Linked DNA regions of Canis lupus familiaris. The protein of the gene in region 2 purifies or fractionates together with the protein of the main gene of each other region. This does not show direct contact. Links are inferred from orthologs where the notes say so. Each region holds a gene or a part of one and is shown on either strand. Other genes may lie near its edges. The genes, in order: XPO1, NXF1, FYTTD1, RANGAP1, SRSF7 and NXT2.

The links.
Region 1: the proteins of NXF1 (region 2) and XPO1 purify together in Homo sapiens (affinity purification with mass spectrometry; 3 studies listed by BioGRID and IntAct, with this or other methods). This does not show direct contact. The link is inferred for Canis lupus familiaris from reciprocal best matches to the Homo sapiens genes NXF1 and XPO1.
Region 3: the proteins of NXF1 (region 2) and FYTTD1 purify together in Homo sapiens (affinity purification with western blotting; 3 studies listed by BioGRID and IntAct, with this or other methods). This does not show direct contact. The link is inferred for Canis lupus familiaris from reciprocal best matches to the Homo sapiens genes NXF1 and FYTTD1.
Region 4: the proteins of NXF1 (region 2) and RANGAP1 purify together in Homo sapiens (co-immunoprecipitation; 3 studies listed by BioGRID and IntAct, with this or other methods). This does not show direct contact. The link is inferred for Canis lupus familiaris from reciprocal best matches to the Homo sapiens genes NXF1 and RANGAP1.
Region 5: the proteins of NXF1 (region 2) and SRSF7 purify together in Homo sapiens (affinity purification with western blotting; 3 studies listed by BioGRID and IntAct, with this or other methods). This does not show direct contact. The link is inferred for Canis lupus familiaris from reciprocal best matches to the Homo sapiens genes NXF1 and SRSF7.
Region 6: the proteins of NXF1 (region 2) and NXT2 purify together in Homo sapiens (co-immunoprecipitation; 5 studies listed by BioGRID and IntAct, counting the BioPlex papers as one, with this or other methods). This does not show direct contact. The link is inferred for Canis lupus familiaris from reciprocal best matches to the Homo sapiens genes NXF1 and NXT2.

What each region holds. Positions count from the first base shown.
Region 1 is NC_049231.1:62,845,991-62,849,490, reverse strand, and holds part of XPO1 (exportin-1), read left to right. Parts: intron 1-98; coding exon 99-147; intron 148-228; coding exon 229-348; intron 349-1,516; coding exon 1,517-1,645; intron 1,646-2,325; coding exon 2,326-2,484; intron 2,485-3,500. UniProt on the Homo sapiens protein: Mediates the nuclear export of cellular proteins (cargos) bearing a leucine-rich nuclear export signal (NES) and of RNAs.
Region 2 is NC_049239.1:54,407,311-54,410,810, reverse strand, and holds part of NXF1 (nuclear RNA export factor 1), read right to left. Parts: intron 3,059-3,500; coding exon 2,975-3,058; intron 2,865-2,974; coding exon 2,760-2,864; intron 2,664-2,759; coding exon 2,583-2,663; intron 2,474-2,582; coding exon 2,404-2,473; intron 2,261-2,403; coding exon 2,172-2,260; intron 2,045-2,171; coding exon 1,937-2,044; intron 1,782-1,936; coding exon 1,672-1,781; intron 1-1,671.
Region 3 is NC_049254.1:29,634,533-29,638,032, forward strand, and holds part of FYTTD1 (UAP56-interacting factor), read right to left. Parts: intron 2,344-3,500; coding exon 2,215-2,343; intron 1-2,214. UniProt on the Homo sapiens protein: Required for mRNA export from the nucleus to the cytoplasm. Acts as an adapter that uses the DDX39B/UAP56-NFX1 pathway to ensure efficient mRNA export and delivering to the nuclear pore.
Region 4 is NC_049231.1:24,911,638-24,915,758, forward strand, and holds the start of RANGAP1 (ran GTPase-activating protein 1), read left to right. Parts: upstream 1-1,321; 5' UTR 1,322-1,431; coding exon 1,432-1,516; intron 1,517-1,897; coding exon 1,898-2,047; intron 2,048-4,121. UniProt on the Homo sapiens protein: GTPase activator for RAN. Converts cytoplasmic GTP-bound RAN to GDP-bound RAN, which is essential for RAN-mediated nuclear import and export. Mediates dissociation of cargo from nuclear export complexes containing XPO1, RAN and RANBP2 after nuclear export.
Region 5 is NC_049238.1:30,974,215-30,978,459, reverse strand, and holds the start of SRSF7 (serine/arginine-rich splicing factor 7), read left to right. Parts: upstream 1-1,445; 5' UTR 1,446-1,599; coding exon 1,600-1,627; exon of another isoform or gene 1,628-1,886; intron 1,887-2,654; coding exon 2,655-2,835; intron 2,836-3,113; coding exon 3,114-3,290; intron 3,291-4,165; coding exon 4,166-4,240; intron 4,241-4,245.
Region 6 is NC_049260.1:83,436,372-83,440,639, forward strand, and holds the start of NXT2 (NTF2-related export protein 2), read left to right. Parts: upstream 1-1,468; 5' UTR 1,469-1,565; coding exon 1,566-1,663; intron 1,664-2,494; exon of another isoform or gene 2,495-2,512; intron 2,513-2,628; coding exon 2,629-2,716; intron 2,717-2,868; exon of another isoform or gene 2,869-2,990; intron 2,991-3,104; exon of another isoform or gene 3,105-3,108; coding exon of another isoform or gene 3,109-3,123; intron 3,124-3,718; coding exon 3,719-3,805; intron 3,806-4,268. UniProt on the Homo sapiens protein: Regulator of protein export for NES-containing proteins. Also plays a role in mRNA nuclear export.

The DNA.
Region 1 (3,500 bases), on a different chromosome or scaffold from region 2:
TGGAGTTTTTAATGACCAAATTACTGAAATCTTTTGTAATTTTGTTAGTATGTAAATAATTTCTCTGTCTTCTAAACTGATCAATTCTTTTTTTTTAGCATGTGCAATGAGTTCTCCCAAATTTTTCAGCTGTGTCAGTTTGTGATGGTAAGTGCTTTTGATACCGTTTTTTAAAAGTAACACTTAATTATATGAAGAGGATTATTTACAAGTATGTTTTTGTTATAGGAAAATTCCCAAAATGCTCCACTTGTACATGCAACTTTGGAAACATTGCTTAGATTTCTGAATTGGATTCCACTGGGATATATTTTTGAGACCAAGTTAATCAGCACGTTAATTTATAAGGTATAGTGAATACATCTCAGTTCTTATCACTGGATAGTTCCATATATTTTTAATTTCTAATGGTCTTTGCTCTAGAAAAGCTTGCATTTATAAGCATAACCTACCAATGTTGTGTCTAATATGAGAAACTGCTTAGAAGAACTTTTCTTTAGTTTCAGTTAATCTGTGTAATGGTGTCAAACTCTCAGGAATTCCTTGTGAACAGCTATTAAGGGATTTGATTTTAGTTTGCTATATAGGTCACAGTAAGGTAAGTTAAGGCTATAAAATGGAAGGTCTGGTTTCTTTCCTGTTTTTGTTTCTGTTTTAAAGCAGCAGCATGCAATACCTGTGTAAACTCTTAATACTTGTTCATCCAGAGACGACTGCTTATCAATAGGTTGTATTATCTTTCCAGATGCTTTCTTGGCAAATAGAAGGAATAAATTTGTATGCTTAACTGAGAAGATTATTATAACTTAACATTTGAGGTTTTGTAGTTTAGGGCTTGATAAGGTAATACATTATTCTAATATATGAATTTACAATATTGGAGACAGTTTACTGTTGACAGTGTATACATAAGTATATATATAACTTTGCTATTGTCAGTGGTACAAGAGGAAACTAAGTAATACAGCATTTATGTACCTGTCTATTTTGCATAAATGTTTATACATATAATTGTCAGATCAATGAACATAATCCATTTAAGGCTTTTTGATGCTTACCAAATTGCCATCCATAAGTGGTATGCCACTTTCATACTTTCTTAACAAATAGAATATGAAAGAGCCAGTTTTACCATACATTTGTTAATCGTATGTGTATCGCCCATCTCCTAAAATCCTGAGCAGTTATAAATCTTGGGTCTTTTTTAGACTATACATAAAATATGATGTCGTTAAAAGTCCTAAAATGGGTCCTGGGAAAATTACTAAGTGACTTTGTGTTTAGATGTCTGAAGACAGATCAGAAGAGGCTCAGTTTTTTCCTAAAGCATTTACTGTTTGTTGGGTAGATAATGAAATTTCCTCTATATATGTGCAAAACAAAATATCCATGGATTGATCTGATTTTTTTCCCATCTTATGATCCTGATTGTTAAAACCTTTATTTTTCTTAATTGTTAAGTAAAATATTACAGGCCATTTATTTTTTGCTTCCTTTTTTTAAAATTTTAAAATAGTTCCTGAATGTTCCAATGTTTCGAAATGTCTCTCTGAAGTGCCTCACTGAGATTGCTGGTGTAAGTGTAAGCCAATACGAGGAACAATTTGTAACGCTCTTTACACTGACAATGATGCAGCTAAAACAGGTAATACAACACTCTTAAGATCTGAGCAAACCATTTTAATGCCTTAGAAAAATTTGAGTTGGAGTTGAACTGTTCTGTCATAACTAATCATAACTATTGTGATTGTATATTTTTTACTTCATTTGATCGCTATACAGTGTATATTTATTAAAATAAGATTAGGCAGACATTCTAATGAACATTTGGAAATTCCTTGAAATAGAGATTCTGGAAGTATCCGAGGAATTTATTTACATAGACTTTTTAGAAGCTTGGAAACCTGGGGTTTAATATTACCTCTTGTTTCTGACTTTGACTCCGAAATGAAGAGATTGTACATTAACAGTCTTGATTAGGTATATATGAAATTGTTTAGAGTGTTAACCATAATACATTACCTTAGTGATCCAAATGAATTACTTAAATGTTCTTGTTTTTTAATAACACTAAGGAAGGAAAAGTCTGATACAGGGAAAAAATGAAAAGATACTTTGTGAAATCTTACTGTTTGTAACATTTTTAAAAACCACTAGAATGCAAAAATGCTATAGTGTAAACTGACAATGGATTCCTAGTGAAGAATAATCTAAGTCTGGCTTATAATATCAGTAACAAGGTGGTGAAATCTTGGTACTTAAAAGTAATATCTTTTGTTGATTTTTTTTAAGATGCAGACTAATGGTCCCTGTTTAAACTTGTAGATGCTTCCTTTAAATACCAATATTCGACTTGCATACTCAAATGGAAAAGATGATGAACAGAACTTTATTCAAAATCTCAGTTTGTTTCTCTGCACCTTTCTTAAGGAACATGGTCAACTTATAGAGAAAAGGTTAAATCTCAGGGAAACACTCATGGAGGTAGGCTTTGTGGAGCCTTTGGCTTCTGAAATTCTTAAATAATGAAAATTGTTTCAAAAATGCCTTGTTATAAAAATGCCTTTGTTGTGAAATGTCTACCTTTTCTTTTTTAAATGTCTGTACCTTTGGGCACTTGGGTGGCTGGCTAAGAGTCTGCCTTCAGCACGGGATCCTGGGATAGAGCCCTGCCTGCTTGTCTCTCTCCCTCTACCCCACCTCCAACTCTTGTGCATGCATCACTCCTAAATAAATCCTTTTTATTTTTTAAAATATTTTATTTATTCATGAGAGACAGAGAGACGCAGAGACCCAGGCAGAGGGAGAAGCAGGCTCCATGCAGGGAGCCTGACCTGGGACTCAATCCTAGGTCTCCAGGATCACGCCCTGGGCTGAAGGCAGCACTAAACCGCTGAGCCCCCTGGGCTGCCCAATAAATCCTTTTTAAAAGTATCTTTCTTCCTCTGTCGTGTGTCTCTCCCCGCTCCCCGCATGCTTGTCTGGGTCTTCTCTCTCTCTCTCTCTCTCTCTCTCTCTCTCTCTCTCTCCCCTCTCTCTCCTCTCTCTGAAGTAAGTAAAACCTTTTTTTAAAAAAAATAAATAGGGATGCCTGGGTGGCACAGTGGTTGACCATTTGCCTTCAGTTGGGGAGCCTGCTTTTGCCTCTGCCTATGTCTCTGCCCCTCTCTGTGTCTCTCATGAAGAAAATAGTCTTTTAATATAAATAAGATGTTTGTACTTGTGACCTCTTCTTACCTATTGTCCATGCATAAAATATGTTAATTTTGAATTACAAGCTGAATTTGTTCTGTTTTCTGCATAATGCCAGATCAATAATTGATAATCACAATTCAATTCCTAATTGGTCTTCAGACATTTCTGAGATGAAAAGTCTAAAGATGTTTAGAAACTGAGGTATAATCTATATAATATAAAACTGTTTTTAGAGTGTACAACTGTAGTGAGAGTCACAGAATTATTAAGTGTCCTCTATTCTAAAACATTTTCATCACCCGCAA
Region 2 (3,500 bases):
CCAGCCTCTGAGCTCTGGGGAAAGAGGCCCCACTCCCCACTTCACCCGGGGCACCCAGAAACAACCGCCTTGAAGGCAGACGCTCTTCTTGCTGCCTGACCCGAGCGCCACAAGAGCAGCACTCCCAGCCCAGGCTTTAAGCCAGGACCTCCTTCCCCTCCCTGCCCCCCTTACCTTCCACCTACTCACCTGTGCAGCCCCGGGAGGAGGGAATGGGGTGGGAGCCCAGGGGCTCCGCTGCCTCAACAGGTATCCATCAGTTCTGCCCAGCCTGGCCATAGCCAAGACCAGAACACACCACAGGGATGGCACAGGATGTTGGGGCAGGGAAATGAGCAAGGTAGGGGGTCAGGAAGAGGTGAAGGAAGAAGATGGAGAAGGAGAAGAAGAGAAAGAGAGAAGGGAGGATGGGGCCAAGGCCAGGGAGAGATGGGGACACAGAGGAGGGGAGAGAGTAAAAAGAAAGAAAGCAAAGGCCAAAGGAGGCCTTAGGAAAAACAAGGAAGAAAAAAGGGAAGAGGACACCCGACACAGCCTTTTCCTTCAGCTGCCCCTTCTTTCCCTGGTCCAAGGTACAGACGGGAAACAAATTCTCGCTGCGGCCGGAGGGCAGTTGCTGTTGGCCAGGTCTCTGTCTGCTACCTGGGTCCCAATCTGAGCTGGGCGTGGGATGTGAAGCAGCCATGGGGGCAGGAGACCTCCCTCAGGAGGGGTGAGGGTTCAGGCCCCTGCAGAGTTGGGGGGGTGAGGGTCTGTGCCCCACCTCTGTTGGCCCCCAAGTTCTCTCCTGATGGCCCCTCTGCGACTGTGCCTGTCTTAGGTTGTTCCTTCCCTGAGGAATCTTACCCGTCTCTGGCTAACCAGCCATCCTCCGGGGCCAAGCAGGGTGACGTGAGGTGTGCGAGTGAGGGCGGGGCAGCGCCCCCAAGAGGGTCAGTGCTCTGTCTCCTCCGCAGTCTATGCCCCCGTGGCCTCCACGCCCAGCACCTGCCTTGGGCTTCCCTCGCCTGCCGGCGGGGCCCCAGCTCTGCTCACACAGCTTGGGGAACCCAGGTTTCTTCTCCAGGGAGGGCCCAGCTCACACAGCTCCAGGCAAGAGAGACAGAATGCATGGCACCAGCTCCGAGGAGGCCTCAACCTCAGCATGAGGGAGAAAGCCCAGGCAACGGTGGCCTTGGGCACGTGGACCGTGAGAAGAGAGTCCCTCTTGGCCAAACGGCAAGAGGGGCTAGCGCAGAACAAAGAAGGAAAGGCCCATCAACAGGAAGTCCCAGGGCAGAAAGGCTTTCTCAGCCCTGGGACAGCAGGCTCTTGCATAAGGCAGCTCCATGTATGGGGCAGATGACAGATACCCCATGGTCATGCCACAAAGCAGGAGATGCCCTTCCTGGAACAGGAGAGTAGGGAGACTCTAGAAAAGGCTGTGTTTGGGAAGAGGAAAGACCACAGAACAGCAAACAGGTAGTCAGGTGAGAAGGAAGGTAAGGAGACCTCGGGGCCAAACTGGGACACACAGACAGACGAAGGGAGGAGCATGTGATCCTCCCAAAGGACAGGTGGTTCCAGCTCAGGGCTGCACATCTCCTGCAGACGGGCACTGGTCAGGGTACATTAGCTCAGCCTCCCAGGGGGTGAAGGTCCCCAGGAGGGGAGACAGAGGCTACAACTGACCTGATGTAGGTGGACTGATCTCGGAAGGTGTCGCACAGCGGGTTTCCGTCAAGCCACAGCTCTTCCAGCTTCAGCCCTTTTACCTTGTCCAGTTCCCTCTCAGATTTCAACTGCGGAGAGGAGGGCAGAGAGAGTGGGCAGGAGACCCCAATGAGGGAGCCGAGCCAGTGAGATCCCCACACCGTGCCTTCTGCTGTCAGCAGGCGAGCCCTCTGCACCCTCTACTCACCGCCCCACACAACATAACCAGACCCTCAGGTCTCACCTCATTTCCGGAGAGGTTGAGGATCTTCAGGTTGGGTGCTTTCTGCACAAGGCTGGACATGTCATCCAGCCTGTAGAGCCTATTGTTGCTCAAGTTCAAGGACAAGAGCTACAGGCAGAGAAAGGATTAGAGGAAGCACTGCCAACAAAGGATTCGGAGACACATCTGCCTCCTAGCCCCATTCTACCTGTCCCACTCTGCCTCCTCCCATCTCTAAGCAGGACAAAAGCCTCACCTCAGGGATATTCTCCTCAATGATTCGCAGCGTAGCCGCCATACAGCTCCTGCGATTCAGGACAACATCGATGTTCTGGGCCACCAAGTCTTCAGGCAGCATAAAGGAAAGAGAGGAAGTCTGAGAGGACTTTCCCACGTCAGAGTTCATACCAAACTATTCTCAAACTTTCCCCGCCCGACAGACCCCCCTCTGCCTCCACCTCTCTGAGAATGACCGCTGCTAGTCATACCTGGGTCTGAACGGAGACCCTTGAGGTCAAGTGCTTGTTGGGAACCATCGTATCGTTTGCTCATGATCAGCTACAGGAGAAGGAAAAGGGGTCAGCGGTCACTCGGGTTGTGCAGAGGGGTTGTGGATGTGAGAACTGGTGGAACTAGAGAGGAGACACATGACGTGAGCCTGCCTCACCTTTAGTTGCTCTACTTGTTCTGGCTTCAGTTCGTTCTGTACAGAATGGGGTGGGACAGAGGAGTTGATGATGATAGATATCTGCAGGGAAGACACAGAGAGCAAGGTGAATTCTGGGAAAGCCTAAGCCACAGGACCACGACCCAACTCCAGCCAAGCCAGGCCCTTTACACACACCCTTCGGTTTTCCTGATCCAAAATCTTATAGTTGACAGCTTTCAATGCAGAGGCGGTACTGGCATCCTCCACAAAAAACTGGGCCCGTGTGTTTTCATAGTGAAACTGCACAAAGAGGAAGAAACAAGAGCATGAGACTGGGAGCCTGGGGCCCCTGGTCCAGCTGGCCCCTCACCTTCCTTGGTGCCCAGTCAGCCACCTGGGCCTTATCTCACCTCAATGGGGGTGAAAGGGACACTGCACTTGCTCTGAATCACACTCAGGAGCCATGACTTGTCATATTTTCTCCCATAGGGAATCTAGATGAGAGAGAAGGAATATCATGTAATAAAGGCTGACCAACAGACTCAACCTAGTGCTCCTTTCACACCTTCTGCCAACTTCTATGACATTTCCTAAAGGAAGGGCCAGTTAAAAGTTTTTTTTTTTTTTACTCAAGTCAGACACAGATTCCTTACCTTCCTTTCTGCCCATTTAAACTTAGTATTTTTCAAGAAAATAGAACTATGTGGTTCCTTTTTTAAATTTAAGATTTCATTTATTTATTTATTTAACACAGAGAGAGAGAGAGAGAGAGAGAGAGAGCGCGCGCGCTCAATCAGGGGGAGGGGCAGGCAGAGTGAGAGGGAGAAGCAGGCTCCCTGCTGGGGTTTGATCCGAAGACCCTTGGATCATGACCTGAGATGAAGGCAGATGCTTAACCGACTGAGCCACCCAGGTTCCCCAAACTATTTGGTTCTA
Region 3 (3,500 bases), on a different chromosome or scaffold from region 2:
AGATGTTCTATTTTAGGCTCTGTCACATGTAACTGGAGAACAAGCACAAGTTCAATCTTATAAGATCCTAAGCTGCCCCTAGGTATCATTTATCTTAAAGCTCAGATGATAAACCCCATAAAAAGAAAGTTTTTCTGGTCCTTCATGGACCAGATCCTATTTCACCTTATCCATTAAACCACTGATTTTCTTAGCACAAAATCTATCTAAAGTCCTTTGGTACTACTGGAATTTCTTTCATGACATTTCTCAACTCCATGTTGTCTGTCTTATCTCTGCTACTAGAAATTCCTTGAAGTAAAAGATCACATCTCTAAAAACCCTAAGAACCTAGTCAGTTCAGGGCATTTATCATGTATTTAACATAGAACTAGCATAAACAAATACATTTCTGGCTCCTGTGAACTCTGAAATTAAAGCAAATGTTTAAAATGTGGTATGCTGAATAACATCTATAGGAATTTTTAAATATAAATCATTGGAATTAAATATTCATTTGCTATAGGTAAATATCTGTCACAAAATTTACTTGCTTGGGTTCCACTGTTTAAGGTATTATTAGAAGGGGTGCATGGGTGACTTGGTTGAGTGTACAATTCTTGGTTTCAGCTCAGGTCGTGATCTCATGGGTTGTGGAGTTGAGCCCTGGGTGAAATCCCTGGTGAGGCTTCCAGTCTGTGCTTAGCAGGGAGTTGGCCTGGGATTCTTCCCGCTGTCCCTCCCCCTACTCCCACATGCACACTCTTTCTAAAACAAATAGATAAATCTTTTAAAAAAATAGAAATGAAAATTATTAGAGAAGAATAAAATTCTTTGTAGAGTCTAACCTCAGTTACAGATATGTTTAGAGAGTATGAAGGCATATTAACTATTATATACATAGAACTAATTATAATCATGGAACCCACTGGTAATTATTTTTTACGTTTTTTAACATACAGGATAAAAGTCACCAAACGTTTTTTACGTGTGTAAAAAAGATCTAGTTTTTTAATTTGAACAAAGGTTCTTTTTTTTTTTATTTTTTTTAAATTTTTACTTATTTATGATAGTCACAGAGAGAGAGAGAAGCAGAGACACAGGCAGAAGGAGAAGCAGGCTCCATGCCGGGAGCCCGACGCGGGACTCGATCCCAGGACTCCAGGATCGCGCCCTGGGCCAAAGGCAGGCGCCAAACCACTGAGCCACCCAGGGATCCCCACAAAGGTTCATTCTAAAACACTGATATAACTGCTAAAAAAATTAATGAGTCATATACAATTAATAGGGTTCAGTAACCACCTTAAATCCATTTTGGAACAACATGGTTATAAATCAATCAATAAGCTTCCACAAAGTGCCAAAAAATACCTGTATATGTAGAGTTCCAAGATTATTATATCACATCTAAGGCACTCAATTCTGAGTGTTCCCTTTAGAGGATTTAACAGATCCTTAAGAGCCCTAGATGATAACACAAAGAGCCTGGAAGTATTTTCCATGCAGAATAGTCTCACATATTTAAAAAGTTCTCATATAGAAAAGAGAGTTTGCTTCCTGTAACTCTACAGAGTTAACAGGTAGGCACAATTTAATTTCAATTAAGAAAACTTTCTAGTAAATAGTTATCTCCAATAAAGGAGTTGTCTTGTAAAGTGGTATGCACTTTCATTGAATATATTTTATGCATGTGGGAGTTATGTAATTATCCACCAGACTATTAAATACCTAACTGGAAAGGAAATAAAACCTCTGCTTTGTAAAATCCCTTACAATACTGTAGCCCTAAATATAATTTATGCTATTTACATACAAAAGGAACTTTAAAAATGACTTAATGTTTTTAAATTTTTTTTTTTTTTATGATAGTCACAGAGAGAGAGAGAGAGAGAGAGAGGCAGAGACATAGGCAGAGGGAGAAGCAGGCTCCATGCACTGAGAGCCCGACGTAGGATTCGATCCCGGGTCTCCAAGATCGCGCCCTGGGCCAAAGGCAGGCGCCAAACCGCTGCGCCACCCAGGGATCCCGACTTAATGTTTTTAAAAAACAGGGTTATCACCTAATTAAAGCAACTGAAAATGCTTACCAGATTTCAAGATTAAACAAAAATCTGAGAAAATACAAATCACAAAGGGTACTAATATATTTCTTCCATATTTTAAGTATGTACTAAACATAGCATGCTATGAATCTACAAATAATAGCTCTTTCTTAAGTTTACTTGTAAAAATTACCAGAATTCTGTTGGATTCCCCATCGCACTCTCATCCTGAATTGCCGGGCACTGCTTTGCTGGAGTTTTCTATTTAGTCTCGGAAAATTCTGCTTCTTTCCTTCCTTTCTATTCAATTTGATGATATCATCTGTGATATACAAAATGTGATGATTATTAACTTACAACTTAACTCATTTTAACTTAATAACTCAATTAATTACTCAGCCTCATTTTCTAGTTGACAGATTTCTTACATCCCTAACTTCTTTGCTACTTTGAAAGCACTTTCGTAAGAGGATAATAATAAGATAAAAATTCAAATCAGCCAATATACTTTCAGCATTAAAGAAAAGTTTTATAGGAAAAGCTCAAATCAAGAGCTCAAAGCAAATCTACCAATTAATGAAGATTTCTATTTCTGTTATCCACCATATTTCTTTAATGCATATAAATAAGCAAAAGCCTATTTACAAAAATTACTCATATCTACTTTCCATAATCACAGAAGTGTCCAGTTTTTAAAGACGACCACCTTCCAATAAAACCATAGGCAGTAAAAATAATAATAATAATAATAATAAATCATTCAACTAAAAGAGTACATTTCTAAAGAAGTTCATTTCAATTCGGCAAATATTTATTGAGCATATGCTGTGTGCAATGAATGTATGTGGCAGGTTATGCTGTAATGAAAACAAACAAAAGTAGAGTATGGTCCTTATTCTCAGGTAAGTTTAAAATCATTGATGGAAACAAGTAAATAGCAGCTATGAAATAAAAAGCACATAATAAAGGTATAGCATAAAAAGAAAATAATTGGGTTCTTCACTTTTCTAGCAGAATATTCAGAGCTACCTTCCTTTCTGCCTTCTACACTCATTGTTTTCAACACTTTTAAACTCTCCCAAAGTAATTTACAAACATCACATTGCCCTAATACCACAGCACAACAATGTGAAAATCAGGAAACTAAACCAACTCCAGATTTCTATTTACAAATGTCAAAAGAAGATTACTAGAAGCCAAAAAATATTCATCTAAGAAATAGCCAAATACTTTGTCCACATCCCAACTTCAATATTAATTTTGATGATTGATAAAGCAAATAAACTGGTCAACTTAAAATCTCACAAAACTAATTAACTTCAATTATTTTTTCCAAATTGCTCTAAACACAAGAATCTAACAACTATATTAATATAATTAGTCTTTTCTGAAATAAAAGAGAGAATTATATATTATAGGAATCTTTCCTTACATATTACTACTCTACCTAACCCATCGGTAATTTTTAAGACTCTTAAT
Region 4 (4,121 bases), on a different chromosome or scaffold from region 2:
AGAGAGAGAGAGGCAGAGACAAGGCAAAGGGATAAACAGGCTCCATGCAGGGAGCCCAATGTGGGACTTGATCCTGGGACCCCAGGATCATGCCCTGGGCTGAAGGCAGTGCTAAACCCCCTGAGCCACCCTGGCTGCCCTGTTTGTTTGTTTTTAACCTAGGTACTATGCCCATCCTGGAGCCCAGCATGGGGCTTGAACTTATGACCCTGATATCAAGTCCAGAGCTGAGATCAATAGTTGAACACTTAACCAACTGAGCCATCAGGTGCCCCTCTAACCAATCTGTTTTATTTTTATTTTTATTTTTATTTATTTATTTATTTTTGGACCAATCTGTTTTAAATCGCAACCCCCTCGGGGCACCTGAGTGGCTCAGTGGTTGAGCGTCTGCCTTTGGCTCAGGGCGTGATGCCAGGATCCCAACGTCCTGGGATCGAGTCCCACATCAGGCTTCCCACAGGGAGCCTGCTTCTCCCTCTGCCTACGTCTCTGCCTCTCTTTCTATGTCTCTCATGAATAAATAAAATCTTTATAAATAAATAAATCGCAACCCCCTTAAAACTCCTTACCCCCTTCTCCGTTTGTTTTTCTTATCACTTACACAAATAAGATTCCACATGTCTTATTTAGAACACATGTTTTAAGAGGTGCCCAGCTAGCTCATTTGGTAGAACATGTGACTCGATCTCAGAGTTGTGGGTTTGTGACCCATGTTGGGCATAGAGATTACTTAAAAAAATAAAATCTTAAAAAATAAATAAAAATAAAATCTTATAAAAAAGAGAGAGGGCAGTATTTTTGCTTCATTCACTGCTTGGTTCTGGTATCTAGAGCAACGTCCAGAACATAGTAATACCCAATAAATGTTTATTGAATGAATGAGTGGTGCCTTCTTATCTAGGAGAATAATTCATACATATTTGTAAAAATTGGCAAGCCAGGGTGATCAGGGTTAAGATAAGGAGAAGGAGGTGGGAGGCTGGCTATAGGAGCCCAGAGGAAGCCTGGGGGGAGTTGGAGGATTGGGGAGCCATCACAGTTGTATCTTGAGGACGAATAGATTGGGGAAGGACATGTTCTGGGTAAGGAGTTTTTGTGGGCCCTTCCTCGTTCTGTCTTCCATATCCATCATCCTTGGTCTCCCCTGATGACCTGCCATTTCCTCTTTAGGGAAATGGAGTGGTCTTTCTGCCAATCTGCCGAGTTCTTCCAGGCCAGAAGCTCCTTTCTTCAGCAGCTCTGCCCTTGGTCTATTGTGATGGTGGCTGTTGTGATGTAGAGACCTCTGGTCTCCTAGGAACCCCTGAGGTTTGGCCACCATGGATTGCCCAGTCTTCTGGCTAAGGTTGAAACCAGACGGGCAGTGGGCTGACACCTGTGCCCCATCCCCAGAGACATGCCAGCGTGGGAGGTGGGGCATTTCGCGGGATGGATAACCTGGATCCCTTAGCCATCCTAGTCCTGTTTGAGGAATGGGACCCTCAAACAGAGAGCAGCCAGGATGATCAGGCAGGTGTGTGCCTGGAGTAGGCTCTTTGCATTGCAGCTGTTGGTCTGGGCCCAACTACCATTCACTGGGAGCCCAGAAGATGGGCAGCTCAGATGGCTGTGCTTGGTGTTCCAGCTGGGGCCATTGGGGCAGGCGAGGAGTTAAAATAAGCTAGTAATCCTTCAGGGGCTAAAACATGATTTTACTACTCTTGCCACTTTCTCCACCTTTCTAGAATTGTTCCTTACCTAATAGTGTTTTCATTTCTCCCAGTAGTTTAGCTGTTGGAGTCTCCATGGAGGAGGGGGTGTTAAGCCCCTGAAAGGGCTGATGTCCTACCCGGCCCTCCCCAACCAGGGGGCCCCAGGAGACTCCTGTCTCTTAATGAAACTTCATCCTGCTCAGTTTGCAGATTTCCGGGGGAGCCCAGCAACGTGGCCAGCATGGCCTCTGAAGACATTGCCAAGCTAGCAGAGACACTTGCCAAAACCCAGGTGGCTGGGGGTCAGCTGAGTTTCAAGGGCAAGAGCCTCAAACTCAACACTGCGGAAGATGGTGAGTTCCTGCTTGGGCTGGCCCAGGGGAGGAAAGAGTGTGTGCCAATGACTCTTGTTCCAGCTTGTTTAGCTACATTATCACGTTGTTTGTTACCTAGTAGCTCTGTGAGATAGTTTTGGGTCCCTTTTAGAGTGAGGCTCAAAGATGTGCCCACAAGGACATATATAGGCTTCCCTGCTAGTCATCATGTTTTTGGAGGCCATCCTTGCTGGTGACAGCTTAGGTTGGCTGGTGGAAAGGGCCACTTTATGTCTTAGTGGGAGGAGATAGTAAACAACAAAGGATCACAACAGCAGTGTCAGGGTATAGTCCCTGACTTCTTACTTCCCACCTTTACCACTATGATCCCAGACTGGTTTTGGGAATACTGGTTGGCTTTCCCAGAGGTAAGGCCCTCTTGGGAGGTCTGGTCCGTGCAACTGAATGCCCCTGGAAGAGGGAGGGATGTTCTTGTCCTAGGAACCAGGACTGTAGGGAATTAGGAAGCAGAATGCAGGCCTTGTCTGTTCATCCCTGGCCAAAGCATGGCTAACACTGGTCAACCCTGAATCCCCTGACGTTTGGAAGTGAAGGCACCTACGCCAGCACTTGCAAGGACTCTTGAGGTTCTGGCCCAACCAGGGAAACTGGTATGGACTTGCCCGGTTGTCATGGATTGCAGGCAAGCTTGCTCACCTGCCCTGCCTCAGAAACTGGAGTTCTCAGGTTGTCAGGAGCATGGCAGTGCACATTCCTGATGTCTCTGAAGGGCCTTAACATTTACAGAGTCCCTCCCTGTGCTGTTATCACTTCCGATCACACGTCATCCCTGAGGGGGGGATGTAGAAATGTTACCATTTTATAAATAAGGAGAAGAGATTTGGAAGACCTAACTTGTCCAAGGTCATCTAGCTGGTAAGTAGCAGAGCTGGGATTTTAACAGAGGTCCAGCTAAGTCCCTATTCTTGTGTTTGTCAGTAGACAGCTCAGTTCAGTAAAGATGAATTTGCTTTTTTTTTTTTAAGATTTAAAAAAAAAAAAAAATATTATGTATTCATGAGAGAGAGAGAGAGAGAGAGAGGGAGAGAGGCAGAGACACAGGAGGAGGGAGAAGCAGGCTCTATGCCGGGAGCCGATGTGGGACTTGATCCCAGGGCCCCAGGATCGCGCCCCGGGCCAAAGGCAGGCGTTAAACCGCTGAGCCACCCAGGGATCCCCCTTTTTTTAAGATTTTATTTATTCACGAGAGACAGAGAGGGAGAGGGAGAGGCAGAGACACAGGTAGAGGGAGAAGCAGGCTCCATGCAAGGAGCTCGATGCTTGATGGGACTCGATCCTGGGATTCCAGGATCATGCCCTGGGCCAAAGGCAGGTGCTAAACCGCTCAGCCACCCAGGGATCCCCTGAATTTGCTATTAAATTCCATTCCCTGAATGCTGAGTCAGGCATTCTTTAAGTGCCTGACTTAAGGAAGTTTATCCTCACAAAAGTCCTTGAGGTAGGTCTCATCCCCATTTTGTAGATTGGAAAAGTGAAGCCCTGGGAAATAATAGGACTTGCCTAAGGGCACAGATACAGGTAATGGAGCTAGGATTAGAGCTCAAGCTTGTCTAGCTTTAAAATCTGTGCAGATCACTAATTAACCAGCTCAGGCTGGACATGTTGCCTCCATTTTCTTGGTCACCAGGGATGCCCAGCTTATAGCCCCGGCCTCTGAGGACCTCCTAAGATGGAGTAGGAAGGAGGTACTCAACTGCCAGGGGGTAGAAGGTGAAGCATACTCTGAGCAACGTGAACAGAAAGCTGTGGGAAATACGGCAAGGGAAAGGGATCATTTCTGGTTTAGGAGGGCCCCGGAAGTCCCCATGGATAAGGTGGTTGAACTGTCATTGTAGGGGAGAGGGCAGTAGACGCAGGGAGTATCATGTGAGGGGAGGAGCTGAGACACATAGGGTGGGCTTGGGCGAGAAGGAATCAGGGTGCCATAGGGAGCCCAGTGCAGACAGCCTTGAATGTAGTGTGGAGGAGTCTGGCAGCTGGACCCTGGGCCCAGAAAGGGCCTCCACCTTGGCTGGCAGTGAGCTGGCATAGT
Region 5 (4,245 bases), on a different chromosome or scaffold from region 2:
GAATAAATATAACATTCTATAGAACTTCTATTTTCTTGCTAGAATTTTCTTGCAATGGATGTATTCTTTCTATAATTTGATACATCTGAAAAAAATACGTATATAAATTTGTAGCATTGTCAAGAGAGGATCCATATTTTATTCACCAACTAAATCTCCTGTCTTCCATAGTCCGCATCACACATCCAAATACATCACGTGAAGTTACAGATGAAAAACATAGAGATACAAATAGCTAATGATTACATCTTTTATGTGAAGCAATTCCAACTCAAATATTCCAAGTATTTATTATATATAGTGTAATGTCTTTTTTTTTTTTTTTTTGTAGCTGGTGAAAAAGGAGTTAAATCTGTATTTGTAGACTTGGCATTTGGAAAATACATTGTATAAAATCAAATCTGAAAAGTATAGCATTGGAAATATAGTCAATAATACCATAAAAATGTATGCGTGACAGGTGGTGACTACACTTAGGGCGAACATCCAGTAATGCAAAGAATTGTTAAAACACTATGCTGTACATGTGAAATGAATATAACATTGTATGTCAACTATACCTAATAAAAATACAATCAGAACTTATGTTAAGCAATTCTATCTAAAGAAAGGGTTCACATTTATTTTCTATAGAGTTTGGCTGAGCAGCAAGGCTGTTACTCGAAGACGACTTAAAGTCCCAGTCCTCAGGATAGGAGTATTAGTGGATGAGATGTGTTACTACAATTCAAAGCAGAAAGCACTAGAAAGAAAGCACAAATAAATCTGTGCTTCAAATGCAAATAATTTCATAACTGCCACTAGCTAGAATGCTTTAAGGATTTAGGGGCTTTGCACAGTTTCAAAATAACCGTAAAAAGAAATACAACTCTATTCCTCTGTGCCCCAGAGTCCAAGAACTCATACGGTGTGGGTGAAAATTGGTTCTGAAGCGGCCGGAGGGTCGGTGCAGTCCCTGGGCACGGCACTCCTTTTGAGGCCCAGGGCGCAGTGACCACTACTCAGAATGGAGGGGTTTATGCAGCTCTCACCCTGGCCAAACTCCCGATTACCTCTGATGAGCCCCGGAGACGACTGAGCAGCAGTCTAAGCCAGGTCCCCCCGCAGAAAGGCGGCGACAGCTGCAACATCAGCGGTTAAATTTTACAGCCTTTCGTAAGGCCGGTGTAGTGTACCTGCAGTAAGACTACCTGAGCTGAGGGTTCCTAGACTGGGGGGAAATAAAAGGGGGGAGGGAGAAGGAAGGAAAAGGGGGAGGGGAGGGGAGGGGGCGGGACGCGGCGGGGAAGTCCACGGGTTTACCGGCGAGGTCTGGCGTTCCCATGGAAACGTATCCCTCCGCCCGTTCCCAGCGTCTTAGCCCCTTCAGTTCCCTCCGCGCCGCCCCTCCGCTGTTTCCGCCCAGCTCCTTTGTGCCGCGCAGAACGTCGAGATGACGCATGCGCAGAGAGAAGCCGCCGCCGCGTATATAAGCGCGAACCCAGACTCTTCCTCGTAGTGCCGCCGGGACCGTTGGCCACTCACTGGGTTTCGCAGCTTTTGTATTCCTCGCTCCCTGGGCACTGCGAGCGGAAAGCGCCGAGCTCGCGGGCCAGCATCATGTCGCGTTACGGGCGGTACGGAGGAGGTAAGAGGCCAGGGCCCAGTGAGGGGCGTTGCTGCGGATGCAGTGAGTACTGCGAGGCCGTGGGGTTGGCGCGGCGGTTGGGAGACGGTTATTCCGCGTGCGTAATGGCGGCCTCGGCGTACACCATACGAAGCCGGAGGCCGCGGGGGCGGGGTATCGGAGGCAGCCGGGGGATGGCGGGTGCAAGTCTGGGTGGGTTCCGTATTCCTTCTCGGGCGTTTTCGTCTCAACCACAGCCCACGGCAGGCCCACGGTCACGGCTTCCCCGTTGCCCTCCTGGAAGCCGCCCGCCCGCCCCCCACCCCCCCGCTCCCGGCTGCCATTTTGCGCACATTGACGACCATGGTGGCGCATTTCCTTGGCGCTTTCCCGCCACTTTAGCAGACAGATCGGGTCGCAGCCTTAAAAGCAAGGATGGATTTGAGACCGGACAGAAGTGGGGCAGCTTCGAGCTGCGCATTCTCGTCAGACAGTCGGTCGAACTTGAGTGGGAATGGAGACCTAATCTTTTCGTCTGGCGGCTGGTTTCTTTTCTCTTTTAGCTCTTTCGAGCGCGGTTTATGGCTCTGGGGCGGGGAGCTGGAGTCTTGGGCGAGCCTGCGCCTCGGGCGGTTGCCGCGGAGGACGAGAGCCGGCGCAGCCCCGCTCTCCCGGTCCGGCCCCTGCCGGGGCCCGCCCGCCGCCGCCGCCGACGCTGCCGGCCCGCGCGCTCCCCGCGCGCCCGGGGCTGCCGGGACTCGGGGGCGGGGCCGGGGCGGAGCCCGCCCCACGCCTCGGAATATCCTACCACGTGTCTGCTTCTGTTTTGGAGGTCGTTTCCCTATTAGAACGTTAAGAACTTTGTCACACGCCTGGCTTTTCAGAAATGTATGGGCTTCGCTGGCTTTAAGACTAAATTAAATCCTTGATAAAGCATTGAACGTGCTTGGCACAATCTTAACGGATGGTCTGTTTGGGGCACAAAATTCACTCAGACGTAGGCAAAATTTTGCATAACATTCATTCTTCTATTTGCGTTTTTAAACAGAAACCAAGGTGTATGTTGGTAATCTGGGAACCGGTGCCGGCAAAGGAGAGTTAGAAAGGGCTTTCAGTTATTATGGTCCTTTAAGAACTGTGTGGATTGCGAGAAATCCTCCAGGATTTGCCTTTGTGGAATTTGAAGATCCTAGAGATGCAGAAGATGCAGTGCGAGGCCTGGATGGGAAGTAAGTAAGAGTTGGTTATGAAATTGACGTTTATTAGAACATTCCTGTGGATTGAGTAGTGAGCTAGGTGACAAGCATAGATTCTGTAGTCTAGAGGAGACTTAAGTAGCTAATCATGACTATATACTTAAGATAAAGATATGAAGGAGGCACAAAGGTGGAGTTAGAAAGGTTTATAAAGATAGCTGAAGTTTGTGAGGGAAAAGCATGGTTGGAAAGCTCTAAATCTAGAATTGTTTATTTTTTTAGCATTAGAATTTTGTTGCCTTTTTTTGTAGGGTGATTTGTGGTTCCCGAGTGAGAGTTGAATTATCAACAGGCATGCCTCGGAGATCTCGTTTTGATAGACCACCTGCCCGACGTCCCTTTGATCCCAATGATAGATGCTATGAATGTGGCGAAAAGGGACATTATGCTTATGATTGTCATCGTTATAGCCGGCGGCGGCGAAGCAGGTATTTATTTTAATAAAGGAATGGTTGGTATACTAGTTAATCGAGTAATTTTTTTATTAGCAAGGCAGAAACTAGTATTTTTCTATAAACTTGAATGTTAATTGTACAGGTGTATTTTACAATTTTTGTTTAATTAAACAAATGTTAATATATTAATAATCAACCTGGTCAAAACCTTTCAGGTTTCTTCGTTTGAGTCAGTCGCCTTGATTCAGAATGTCACGAGCCTTATGATATCATGCTGAGGCGCCTTGCAAATCCGACAATTAAGATCCTCCTAGACCTTGAGGTGATCAGCATAAGAGGCCAGATCCCCTCGAGTCATCTACACCTAGCTTCACCTTATTCTTTAAAGGGCAGAAAATTTGAGACGGTGATCGCCGTAACAGTAAATTTGGCTTACAATTGGGGCCCCCTCCGGTTTAGAAAGAGGAACATCAGATTGACCACATTCCCAACTAGAAAAATCTTCTTGCGTCAATCAAGCCTCACCTGGCTCATTTGGCTGTCAGTTTGATCGTCGTTAGATTGAAGAAAACATCTAGATGCAGCGATCGGCTATAGATACTTCTAGATCGTCTAGATCTACTAGACCATGGGCCAAAGAGGGTCGACCTGCAAACTTGCAAGGTTTATTTTAAATACACATTACAGTGTTTTATATTATGTAATTCTAAGATGTAATTCAGCTTTTAACAAATCTTTTTTTAGGTAGTAAAAAAAAAAAAAAAAAAAAAAACTAATAGGCCCAGAGTTTATTTCCAAATGAGACACTAAATTTAAATAGTTTTGAGATTTGATTTCAGCAGAGGCACACAAACTCTAAAAACGAGTTACCATCTAACATTTTGTTTTTCTCTGACTTAAAAAAATAGGTCACGATCTAGATCACATTCAAGATCCAGAGGTAGGCGATACTCCCGCTCACGCAGCAGGAGCAGGGGAAGGAGGTGAG
Region 6 (4,268 bases), on a different chromosome or scaffold from region 2:
AAATAAGCATAGTTTAGGGACAATGAGTGGCTCAGTGGTTGAGCATATGCCTTTGGCTCAGAGCATGATCCCAGGGTCCCGAGATTGAGTCCTGCATTGGGCTCCCCACAGGGAGCCTGCTTCTCCCTGTATATGTCTCTGCCTCTCTCTCTGTGTGTCTCTCATGAATAAATAAATAAAACCTTTTTTTAAAAAGTGTAGTTTAAGCACATACGTGACTAGCAGAGTGTCTAAGAGAAAAGACTTTGGGATTACACAGCTCTGGGTTGAAATTCTAGCTCCACTAGCTATGTCATCCTAGCCAATTTACTTAACCTCTTTGAATTGCAGTTTGAGTTCTTAAAATTTTAGATAATAATTTGTCTCTCTCCAGGGGTCATGAGGATTGAATGAGATTATAATAAACACCAGACACCTATTCTGAGCTCTCAATTAATAAGCATAATTACCTATAAAGCAGTAAACACAAGTCATTTTTGGCAAACAGTACTAGTTAACTTTGCCGATGTTGGTGAACAATGAGAGAGAAGTCTGGAATGGCAAATTGAGACTAGACCAAGGTAGGTCTTAAAAGATTAGAAACATTTTGGAAAAATGAGAAGTGAGAATATTTGCATATAGAGGAGGGAAAGGGAGAAGAGGATAAGGGGAGAGGAGAGGAGAGGGGAGGGATGGAAAGGATAGTGGAAAGGAGATGGGTAGGGGAGCAGAGTAGAAGGGAGGGGGAGGGGTGGGTACTGGCAGGGAGGGGGAGGGATGGAAAGGGGAGGGGAATGGAAGGGAGAGGAGGTAGGGAAGGGGAGGAGGGGAAGAGTCGAAGAAAGGGAGGGCGCAGTGGAAGGTATGGTGGAGGGGAGCAGAGCAGAAGAGGGGGTGGGGACTGGCAGGGAGAGGGGGAGGGAAGGGGAGGGAAGGGGAGGATATGGGAGGGGTCAGCGGAAGGGAGGGGGCAGCAGAAGGGAGGGGGAGAGGAGGTGAGGAAGGGGGGAGAGAGAGAGAGAGGTTGCCTAAAAAATGAGCCAAATTGAGCAAGTTACTTGGAATTCCTCTGTAGTTCATAAATGTTCTGTTTATTGTCTAGAACTCCCATTACATTGTGAACGTTATGTGGAGAACCTTGCATAACGTGGTAGTCCATAGTAAGTGTTCAATATTTTTTGAACAAACAAGTGAATTACGATGATGGGGGTGCTAAAAATAGAGTCCAAGAATTCAAGCATAGATGACTGAAAGAATACAGAAGATTGGAATTGCAGAGGAATTAAGGAGTTTAAATTTTGGACTCTTAAGAGTTCGAGAAACCTGTAAAGCATTTCTGCTGTTCATATCTAGTGAAATTCCATAAGCGGAACTGGACATCGACGGTGGGGGCTGGAGATGTGTCGTGAAGATTTATTAGCATATGAATAGCAGTTGAAGTCACGTGGGAGGAAGGAGGTTTTTAAATAAGAGACACCCCCGGAAGTGACGCCAGTAAGAAGGGCGCAGGGGAAGAAAGTCAGTCTGCCTGCAGTTGAAGGTAGTTTGAAGAGCGGAGCGCTGTGGGGGGCAAATAAGATTCAAATATGAGAAGATTCAGAAGAGACTGGGCTCATAGAAGGGACTCAGGAAGATACCAAAGAAGGAGAGAATATTTTGATGAGCCAGAAACCAGCTATTCGAGGTAAGACTATAGCGATAGCTAATTGATTTAACCATGCAGAAGCTGTTGGTGCCTTTGAGGTGAACGGTTTTAAAGGATGCTGGAGAGTGAAATCAGGTTGTAGTGGTAGTTAAATTGCTTGAGCTTGAACCCCAATTAGTTTGTGACTCTCAGTGGGTTCCTTAATCACAATGTGCCTTAGCTATAAACTGGAGATGGTTACCTCATAGCATTATTAAAGTAATAAGTGAATATCGATTAAAATGCTTAGAAAATTACATTGCTCGTGGTCACCACGCAGTAAAATTTTAGTTGCAGTTAGAAAGTAGGCTGCAGAAGGTGGTGAATGGCAAGGTTTGCTAATCTTCATTTGGAGTCTGAGACCAAAATTTGGGCATGAAGGAACTTGATAAGCCTTTTCTTATGAATAGCAGAAAACCAAATCATGAATAATTTTAGGAATGCTGCTGAGACCGTTGGGATTCGATTTAGTGAGGCTAGATTCTTCCAGAATGTTCCAGAACTTTAAACCGTTCTTTGCCAGTCATGCGCAGTGTGGTGGCATCCCTCCCCAAACTCCACCCCTTTTTCCTATAGTCTACAGTTCCAGTAGGTGTCTCCTCGCGTTTCTCGTTGGTCTTCTGCTATCCTTGGCCCCGCCTCCTGGCGCAAAGAAGTCCCCCTATTGGGCCATTTAGATTTTTTTTTTCTTGTCCCGCTTCGTGAGGGAAATGGATACTTTTACTTGGAGTATCTAGTTTACGAAAGCAGAGGATTTTTTTCTTCCCAACCAAGTAGATAAATAGCAACCAAATGAATAGAGGAGGCAGATGGGAGGGTACGGTCGGAACTGAAGGAAGTGTACTTAAGGTTGGAACATCGGGGTGCTTTTAACAACGGACCGAGCTACTTCCGGGAGAGAATGGGCGGGTAGAGAATTCGGCGTTTGGCGGGTTTAGCTGTCTTCCTAAATTTTGGTCCTGCAGCAGCCGAGGGCGCCCGACACGTGAAGAGGTAGTGACGCCGCCACTGCCGGAACAAGCTGCTTCGGGGTCCCTCATGGCCACGTCTGTGGTGAGTGCTGGGGCCACTGCAGGGTGCCGAGGCGCCGCGGCTCGGGCAGCTGAGGGGAGGGGCGCTGGGGCGGGCAGCCTGGTGGTCACGTGGTCCCGTGGCGAATCAGGGCCGGGCCCGCTGGGCTCCGGGGCGGGGCCCGCTTTCTGTAGCCCCCTTGGGTCGCGAGCCCACAGATTCCCCCGCCGCCCCCACCCCTTGGCGTCCGTGCAGTCCCTTTCGATTGCTGCCAAGGACCCCGAGATGAGAGTTGGCGGGAAGCGGAAATGTTGGGGTCTGTTTATGGCTTGCGATTTTTTATTCTCTATCATCTCCCTCTCTGAATGACTTTCGATATCCTGACAGGGAAATGAAACGGATTCTTAATTCAAATAATAGGCTGGGCTCGGCGAATGGCTGGGAGAAAGGTACCTATTAAATCATCCGGCAGAAGAAAAACCCCAACAGCATTTCTCTCCTTCGGTTCGACAATTCTTTACAAATGCCGGTGAATTTTTCCGTCATGTGTAGAAGTTTCCTAACTATATAGTTTTTCAAGCATTTCATCGAACTTCGTTTTATACTCCATTTTTTCCCCCACTGAGTAACTCTTTGTCCTGAGTTCTGGCTTAAAGAGGGAATTCAGCACTTCCACCACCACCCTGCCCTTTATAAGGTTCAGACCACATCGTTTTTTTAAGGTGAATGTTTTGTAAGATATTGGAAGCGTAAGGTACTTCCAGTACCAGTTACCAAGCAAACATAAATTCATATTTGAAATGAGAAAAAAATTCACTATTGAGGGATGAGTATGTCCTAAACACATGTACTTTAAAATGGGGGAAAATAAAAAAACTGGAAACTTTTGAACCCTGACCTTTATAATGTCCAAATATCGATGGAAGAATGTGAACTGTGTATGCAGCTACAAAGTGATTGAAATACGTGACCAGCTTTTGTTCGTTTTCTCTTTGTTAGGAGTTGGAGGGGTGGTAATGTGCACTTCTGAATTTTTTCTTCTAGGACTTTAAAACTCACGTAGATCAGGCATGTAGAGCTGCTGAGGAATTTGTCAATATTTACTATGAGACAATGGACAAAAGAAGACGGGTGAGCCTTATAGACTCTACTACACTTTGTTAAGTACCAGGGTTTTTTGTTTTGCTTTTTGTCTTTTTGTAGCCATCCAGTCATCTGACTTGCATAAGTGATAACTGTGGGCTTGTTCTTTAAAAGTGCATTTTTTAAGGGAAGGATTGGTTATGATACTCTGGAAATGTGGGCTCTGGAGTCCCTCTCTCAGCTTTGCATTTACCTAACTCTGTGACCTTGGGTAAATTGTTAATCTCTCTTATTCTCTAGTTTTAGGGAGAGTAAATGGGAATTAACTTACTGCACTTGACATGGGGTTTGACATATATTTACTCAAATATGTTACCTTTTTTAACGCTGTCATTCAGCCAGTATACTTAAAACAGTATCAGTGCTAGTGAAGGAGTGTGCCATTACAGGGAATGTTCCTTGAACTGTTTAATTTCATATATTATTAATTTCTGATTAAAGCTCAAAGCTG